Sus scrofa: one gene and its partner. The protein of the gene in region 1 purifies or fractionates together with the protein of each later gene. This does not show direct contact. Links are inferred from orthologs where the notes say so. Each region holds a gene or a part of one and is shown on either strand. Other genes may lie near its edges.

The links.
Region 2: the proteins of DBF4B (region 1) and CDC7 purify together in Homo sapiens (affinity purification with mass spectrometry; 3 studies listed by BioGRID and IntAct, counting the BioPlex papers as one, with this or other methods). This does not show direct contact. The link is inferred for Sus scrofa from reciprocal best matches to the Homo sapiens genes DBF4B and CDC7.

Annotation. Positions count from the first base shown.
Region 1 is NC_010454.4:18,619,608-18,623,416, forward strand, and holds part of DBF4B (protein DBF4 homolog B), read right to left. Parts: intron 2,874-3,809; coding exon 2,688-2,873; intron 1,887-2,687; coding exon 1,836-1,886; intron 901-1,835; coding exon 837-900; intron 1-836. UniProt on the Homo sapiens protein: Regulatory subunit for CDC7 which activates its kinase activity thereby playing a central role in DNA replication and cell proliferation. Required for progression of S and M phases.
Region 2 is NC_010446.5:125,438,673-125,442,481, reverse strand, and holds part of CDC7 (cell division cycle 7-related protein kinase), read left to right. Parts: intron 1-944; coding exon 945-1,027; intron 1,028-3,228; coding exon 3,229-3,378; coding exon of another isoform or gene 3,379-3,449; exon of another isoform or gene 3,450-3,809. UniProt on the Homo sapiens protein: Kinase involved in initiation of DNA replication. Phosphorylates critical substrates that regulate the G1/S phase transition and initiation of DNA replication, such as MCM proteins and CLASPIN.

The DNA of each region.
Region 1 (3,809 bases):
GCTGTGGCGTAGGTCACAGATGTGGCTCAGAGCCCATGTTGCTGTGGCTCTGGTGTAGGCCAGTGGCTACAGCTCCGATTTGACCCCTAGCCTGGGAACCTCCATATCCCGCAGATGAGACCGTAGAAAAAGACCAAAAAAAAAAAAAAAAAAAAAAAAAGTTCAATCCAGCCAAACTGGGTGGGAATGTAGCCACACTACTCACTATGGATAATGTACTCAATCCGGTCTCTGAGCTCAATTTCCTTATCTGTACAATGGGCAGAAGACTGCAGTGAGGATTAAATGAAGTGATTCCTAGAGGAGAGTAAATACCTGACAAGGGGTCATGGACATAGGATTATTTTCTTTTTTCTTCTTTCTTTCTTTTTTTTCCCCCTTTTAGACGGCCACACCCACAGCATATGGAAGTTCCCAGGCCAGGGACTGAATCCAAGCAGCAGCTGCAACCTACACTGCAGCCAATGCCAGAGCCTTTAAGTCACTGCGGGGGCTGGGCCGGGGATCAAACTCGCATCTCCATAGTGACCTGAGCCACTGCAGTCAGATTCTTAACCCACATGCCACAGTGGGAACTCTTAGGATTATTTTCTTATTTGTAAAACAGGATCATCACACCAGCCAGGGGAACTGCCGTGTGGGTTAAACAAAGCAGCACCTGCCAGTACCCGTGCTCTATTGCCACTGCTGGTCTCTATACCGCCTGCCTGGGAGCATCACACTAACTGAGCACATCTGGCTCCAGCTAGAACACAGCTATGATCCCTCTCACAGCTGAGGCTCCCAGTCTGTCACCAACAGTCCCCTCCGCAGAAGCCCCCCGGCAGGAAGGGTACCGTCCACGTGTAGAATCCGCACTCCCCAGGAGCGGGCGTTGCTCAGGAGGCTGCTGCTGCTCCCCTGGAAAGACAAGCAAAGTCAGGCAGGAGCATGTGACTCCCCAAGGTCTGACCACGATGGGGCAGGCTGGCCCCGCTTCTGGGAGCTCGGGGTCATCCACGAGGGGGGTAGTTGCAGGGAGGCAGACAGGGGAGAGAGCAGAGGGTCTGGAGAGTCAACCCAACCCCCTGGGGAAGACCCTGTCCTCCGCAAGGGCTGGCCACATCGGGCGGGGACGGACTGCGGACCTCTAGCTGGTGAGCGAGAAGAGGCCTGTACTTGGACGAGAGCGGGTGTCGGGAGAGGCCCTGTGAGGCAAGCTCTCAGCCCACAGGCAGGACACAGTAAACACCTGCTGACCTCTCCCGCTGGCAACACCGCCCTCCCTCGGCACAGCCAAGGCACCCACTTGATGTCACTTTTTAAAAAAATTAATTTATTTTTTACTTGATGTCACTTTAACGACTCCTCCCGCCAGATCATCTCAACTCGTCCTCCTGTCACGTAACTGTAATGCCTTGGATTCTCACAAAGGGGATGAAGAGCTACTTGTGAGGAGTTCCCATCGGCGTGGCTGTGGTGTCGGCCAGCAGCTGTAGTTCCGATTCGACCCCTAGCCTGAGAACTTCCATATGCCGTGGGTATGCTCTCACCCCCCTGCGCCCCGCAAAAAAAACAGCTATCTGTGAAAGACGTACAAAGTCTGACACACCCCACAGCTTTGCTCCAAGGTTCCCTTGGGAGGCTCAGGAGTTGGAGAGATGATGGGGTCAAATCACCTCCATGCTGGACAGATTACTTAACTTCTCTGAGCCCCGCCTCCTTGTGTGTAAGGAGGAGTCATGACAACGCTCCAGGTCTTAGAGCACGTGCCTTCTGTGTGAGAACTTCTGAAGAAGCTCGGGAGGCCAGGCTGACTCCCTCCCTGAACCTCCAGCCCGTCTCCCTCAGCTCACCTGGTTTCGGATGGCCTTTTGCAGGAGCTCCTTCCCTCTGCTCAGAGGCACCTGACGGAAGAGGGAGCAGTGAGGGGAGCTGTGGAGCGCCCCTGCGCACACACAGATGTGTCCACAGGGGCTGCCAGGACGCCTGGAAGTCAGGGCCCTCATAAAGCCAGGAGCAGTAACGGCTGAGAAGCAGTGGATGGGAGAGCCCGGAGAGCCTTTCAGAGGTAAAGGGAAAGCCCCAGGGAGCTGCAGCCAGGTGGCCTGGGTCCTGGCCCCCCAAGGTCAAGGGTTACAAATGTCCTGAGACCTCTCTGTAAGAGCCCGAACCCCGGGGCAGACAAGCCTTGGACACTTGCAACAAGCCCTCTCTGGTTTAGAGAGGACCTTCCTACTGTTTTTGAACCTCAGGCTCTGAGGTCCCATAAAAAATGAACACTGGAGTTCCTGCTGTGGCTCAGTGGGACCTGCGACGTCTTGGGAATGCTGGGACGCAGGTTCGATCCCCAGCCCAGCACAGTGAGTTAAAGATCTGGAATTGTTCCAGCTGTGAGCCGTTATAAATGCGGCTTGGATTGGATCCCTGGCCCAGGAACTCCCTATGCCACAGGGCAGCCAAAAAAAAAAAAAAAAAATCAAAAAACAAACAAACAAAAAGTGGACATTTATCACAGAAGGGAGGGCACAGCATGACGCTGAGGTGCCTGCCTCCAGAGCTATGATAAGACAGTTTTGGGCCCTGAATTCAAATGAGAGATGAAAATAAACCAGATGAAAATAAACCAGAAACTGCCTAAAAGGGGTCACTGAGGCATACTTCCCTCGTTTGGAGGGCACACCTTTTGCGCCCTGAGAGGTTCTTACCGACTCCACGGGTTTCTGGGCAGGCCTGGCATGGCTGTCTTTCGGGTTGGCCACGGACGGTGTCTCCACTCTGACCTCGCCGGGGCTGGGGCAGCCTCTGTGACTCGTCCCTCCACTCTCTGCCTTCGCCTCCCTGCGGCTGGACACGATGTAACTTACTTCTTTGCTCAGGAAACCCTCAATTACCTGAAACCAGATCACAGAGGTGGCTGAAACCCGAAAGGCAGAAGTAGAATTATCAATATCGAGAGGTCGAGGGAAAGACATCTGGGCTGCCAGAAGTTCCAGAATCAATGTCTTTAAATAGACCAAATGCAGTTCTGTGCCAGGCCTCCGAGAAGACATCCTCTTGGAACACAATAGGGCCTATCTATACAACACAGGTTCTCACTCCAGAACCGCGGCTCCGCCTGATCCAGCAGCGGAAGCCCAGTGGCTCTGAGGATCTGACTCGTTGGAGTGTGCACGGAACACGAGCACGATGAAGAGACCAGAGAAGATTAATGTCTTATTGGTTACGTCCTGATTTTGCTGTGAAGATACACTGGGACATCCAGAGGCTGCCTCTGTAACCTTGACCACGTTACCAGAAGGAGCCTGAGACAAAAAACGAGTTTCGGCTGTGACTCAGCTGCACGAGTGTCTGCTCATCCTACCTGGAAGCCCTTCATGGCACTGAGAGGGTCTGACTCACCTTGCATCCCAAGACCCCAACACGGAGCCTGAAACACAGTGACACAGCTCAAGACTGGGGGAGGGAGGAAAGATGGCAACATGCAGTAATGAGCCGGCAACCTCTTAAGGCCTGACTCTCTGGGGAGCGGGGGGACCTGCTTTATAGCACTTGCTGATTTCTGTGGGGTAAAATACTACTGTGGCTGATGTCAAGCTAGTCATAATAGGACGTCACTCAATGTGGAACTGGAGAGAGATGCTAACAATTGATTCTCACGAGCCTGTCCCAGCCAGTTCTGGCACAGCTGTGAGAGCATGGATGGCATCTCCGAAGTGAGACGAGATGGGAAACCTGGCACTTAGGTTTAAAAAAAAAAAAAAAAAAAGTTTAGGTTTCTCAAAAAGCTAAACATGGATTTTTACCACATGACCCAGCAATTCCACTCT
Region 2 (3,809 bases), on another chromosome or scaffold:
AGTAAAAGGGAACAGTGCAGTTCTGAGAACCGAGGGCCCTGGTGCAGCGCGGTACCTGGACGTGCAGGTGACAACCCTTGACACACATGCTCGGGAGAGCACGTTTGCCTTTGCATGCAAGTAGGAAGAGCTCTTCAGAAACTTGAGAGTGGCCTCTTTTACTTGGTGATGTCATCTTGTTTTCTTTATTCCTGGCGACGTAGAATAACCTGAACCAAATAATAGAACCTTTCTCACACTCCCACCTCCAGTTCTTTGCCACATAAATTCTTTTCTTCCCTTCAAGACTTTCTTAAGCTTTCATGAGCTTTTCTGATTAACTCTAGTACATATGTGAACAGATAGCTCAGTAAGTAATTCCTCAAAATGGAAATACATTTTTTTTTTGGTCCTTTTAAGGGCCTCACCCGCGGCATATGGAGGTTCCCAGGCTAGGGGTCGAATCCGAGCTGTTGCTGCCGGCCTACACCACAGCAGTACCAGATCCGAGCCACGTCTGTGTGTGACCTACACCATAGCTCATGTCAACACCGGATCCTTAACCCACTGAGCAAGGCCGGGGTCAGACCCACAACCTCGTGGTTCCTAGTCGGATTCATTTTCGCTGTGCCACAATGGGAACTCCAGAAATAGGTTTTTATACCTCAGCGTTCCTGATGTGTTCTGTTTTTCTGTTTTGGCTGTCATCATCTACTACCTCTTCTTATGCCTGGATGTTACCTTAAAACCTGTCTGGAGCAAGACCTGGGAACTAGTGGGAGGGGAAGGGACCCATAGAAGCAAAATCTAGGATTTCCATCACACTGGATTATCATTTGCCTTCTAGTAACTTTTATTTGCATAGATACTACTTGACTGTGAAGTAAATGGGTTAAGTGTTATTTTTTGTTCTTACGTAATTAAACTTTAACGTAACTAGAAACATCTCCTTTCATCATCATTAGGCGGCAGCAGGTGGCACCTCGGGCAGGTACACCAGGCTTCAGAGCACCAGAGGTCTTGACCAAGTGCCCCAATCAGACCACAGGTAGGTCACGTTGGAAACACAGAACCCAGTTCAGCTGGTTTCCACGGGTGTATCTTAGGATTGCTGTCTAGTTAGGACTAAGTCGGAGCTGTCCTGCTTCTCCCTAAGGTCTGGAGGTGATCCTGGCACTTCAGCGTAGTCCCGTTTTTGACCTGGTGCTGTGTATGAAAGCTTCTAACCCGAGTGTTGCTTTGGGTTGTTTTTTTTTTCCTCTGTAGATTAGGTTTTGCTTATCTTTCTACAAGGTGATTTTATCAGGAATAATTCTAACATCACCTTTGTGGGGACTTGGGCTTAGCAGTCTTGGCCAGCTTCAGTCTTGCAACGTCTTATGTTTGCCTCGTACCTCAGACGTCTTCTGTGGTACGCATATGATTGTGTGTTTGATTAAAATTTTTTGGTTGTGAAGACAGTGTGATAGCATTGCGGAGATTTGCAAAAGAGAAAAAACTCTAACCGGAAAGAGTCGTCACGGATCAGGATCCCAGAGGACACCTTCTTGAGGCGTTGCGTCTTCACGTGGGTTATGGACTTGACGGAAGTGGATTCGTTTGGCAGATGCTCCTTCTGTGCTTTGCGGGTGACAGAAAAGGATCTGCTTTCGCTGTAGTCAGACACTCGCTCCGGTGATTATGAAGCAGTCTGTTCAGTATGCAGAGTGTTTTAGGGTCTCTGACTCCTCTCATCTGAGGGGTCATGGAAGGAAGCTCACGGGAGAGGGAACGCCTGGGAAGAGAATGTAGATTAGAACAGGAGGGTCACACGAGCAGGGGAACCCAAGATAGCGCGGTCACGCGGGAAGCCGTCCAAGCTTCGTGTTGCCAGACTGTGTGGGAAGTCAGAGTGGTGACACATGAACGGGGAGAGAGGTGGCGAAGGTCAGGGTTCGGGTGTCGTGTGGCTCGGACCACATCCTGCAGGTTCGGGAAAGGGGGAGAGCGCCGGAGCTGACGGTCTTCTGGAGGGTCCTTCGGCAGGTGTGCAGAGAGGGCTCGGCCCCGGGGAGACGATGGAGGCCCGGACGCGGCGGGAGCGGGAGGAGTGAACCGAAGTGAAGACGGGACAGGCAGAGCTTGGCGGATAACTGGATGTGGGATTTGGGTGGCAGAGAAAAGGCCTCCAGAATGTTTACCAGATTCCTAGCTTGGGGACCTTTAAGGGGCAACCGGCGTGGAGAAAAAAGAAGTAGCCGGTGTACAGGGAAGGAAAAAGGGGACGGGGGCATCGCTGGTTTGAGAGCGTGTGGAACATCCAGACAGAGATGCCCAGCGGGGTGATAGTGCGTCTGGAGCGCGGGGACGTCTGGGCCGCCGGTGGCACCGAGTGTCTTCCTTACCACGCGAGGGGTAGTGGAAGCTGTGGACGGGCCGGTCCAGCAGAGTCCACAGGGGAGGCGTTGGAACTCTGGGGGCACCTCAGCCCCTGAGGCTTGGAGGAAACACTGCAGGCGCGGGCAGAGGTACGCAGGGAGCCAGGAACGGCAGGTGTGCGGCAGCGGCCAAGGGAGTGGAGCAGGTAACCTGGTGATGCAGGGAGTTCAGCAGTTAGGACAGAAGACGAGCTTCCCCAAGCTGTTTGTTTCCTTTAATGAGCTTCTTCACGGGAGGCTGAGCTGGTCCTAACCGGCAGGACTCTGGAGACGGACGTTGTCACAGCAGAGGTGGGGTTGGTTGGCACCTGGCTGAAGGCAAGCCTCTGATGTTCATACGTTGCACTGCGGGGCAACGCGTTCACTGCTGTGGTGTGTAGATCCTGAGCAGCATCCAGACTCTTCTCCTACACAGCCACTTTGGATTTGTTTTGATGTTATAAAATGTGCATTTACTGCGTGACGAAACACCCTTTTAAACAGACCAGCACGTTGCTCGAGAAAGAAGACTGTGTATTTTGTATTAAGGATGTTAGACAAATTACATTAAAAGCACCTGAGGAACTTTTTAAAAAAAAAAACTGATGCTGTACAGTAAGGAAAAAAAATTGTATTGGGGAAATAACTATTAAAAAAACAAACAAAAAAAAAAAACCCTGATGCTTAAGCACTACTCCAGAACAGTTGAATCAGAACCTCTTGAGGGGATTGGGCATCAGAATATTTTTAAGGCTCTTAAGGTGGTTGAAGATACAGTAAAGGTTGCGAACTGTTGATACAGAAGTAAAATTATGGGTTGGGGATTTTTCTCAAAGCTGATTTTCTGTTACAGCAATTGACATGTGGTCTGCAGGTGTCATATTCCTCTCTCTGCTTAGTGGACGGTATCCATTTTATAAAGCAAGTGATGATTTAACTGCTCTGGCTCAAATTATGACCATTCGTGGATCCAGGGAAACTATCCAGGCTGCTAAAACTTTTGGTAAGCAGTTTTACATTATAGAACAAAACAAATACCTTTTGCATATCTCCTATACATCACTTAAATTGTGAAATTCTCTTGACAAATAAACATCTGCGTTCGTAAAGTTTTCTGATGTTGGAAAGTTTCTTAGTTGTTTGAAAATTAACGGCATTGTGTAAGAAAGTAATTTATCCCTTCCCTTCTGTAGGTGCGATCCTTTCACCTTAGCAAGCGCAAAGTACTGTGCTTCTCTGTTGTTTAAAGCTCAGCTTTATAATCTCAAAAGAGTAAGGAATAAAATCTTAACTCCTTGTACTTGTGGTTTGACTGTCTTACATGTTTTTCATTTGCTTGGGTTTGTTTACTGTTACATGCATTAAGCATCGTGTGTGCTTGGGCCTGCCGAAACGACCTTAGTCTGTGCTAAGAAGAAAAGAGGTAATTTGAAT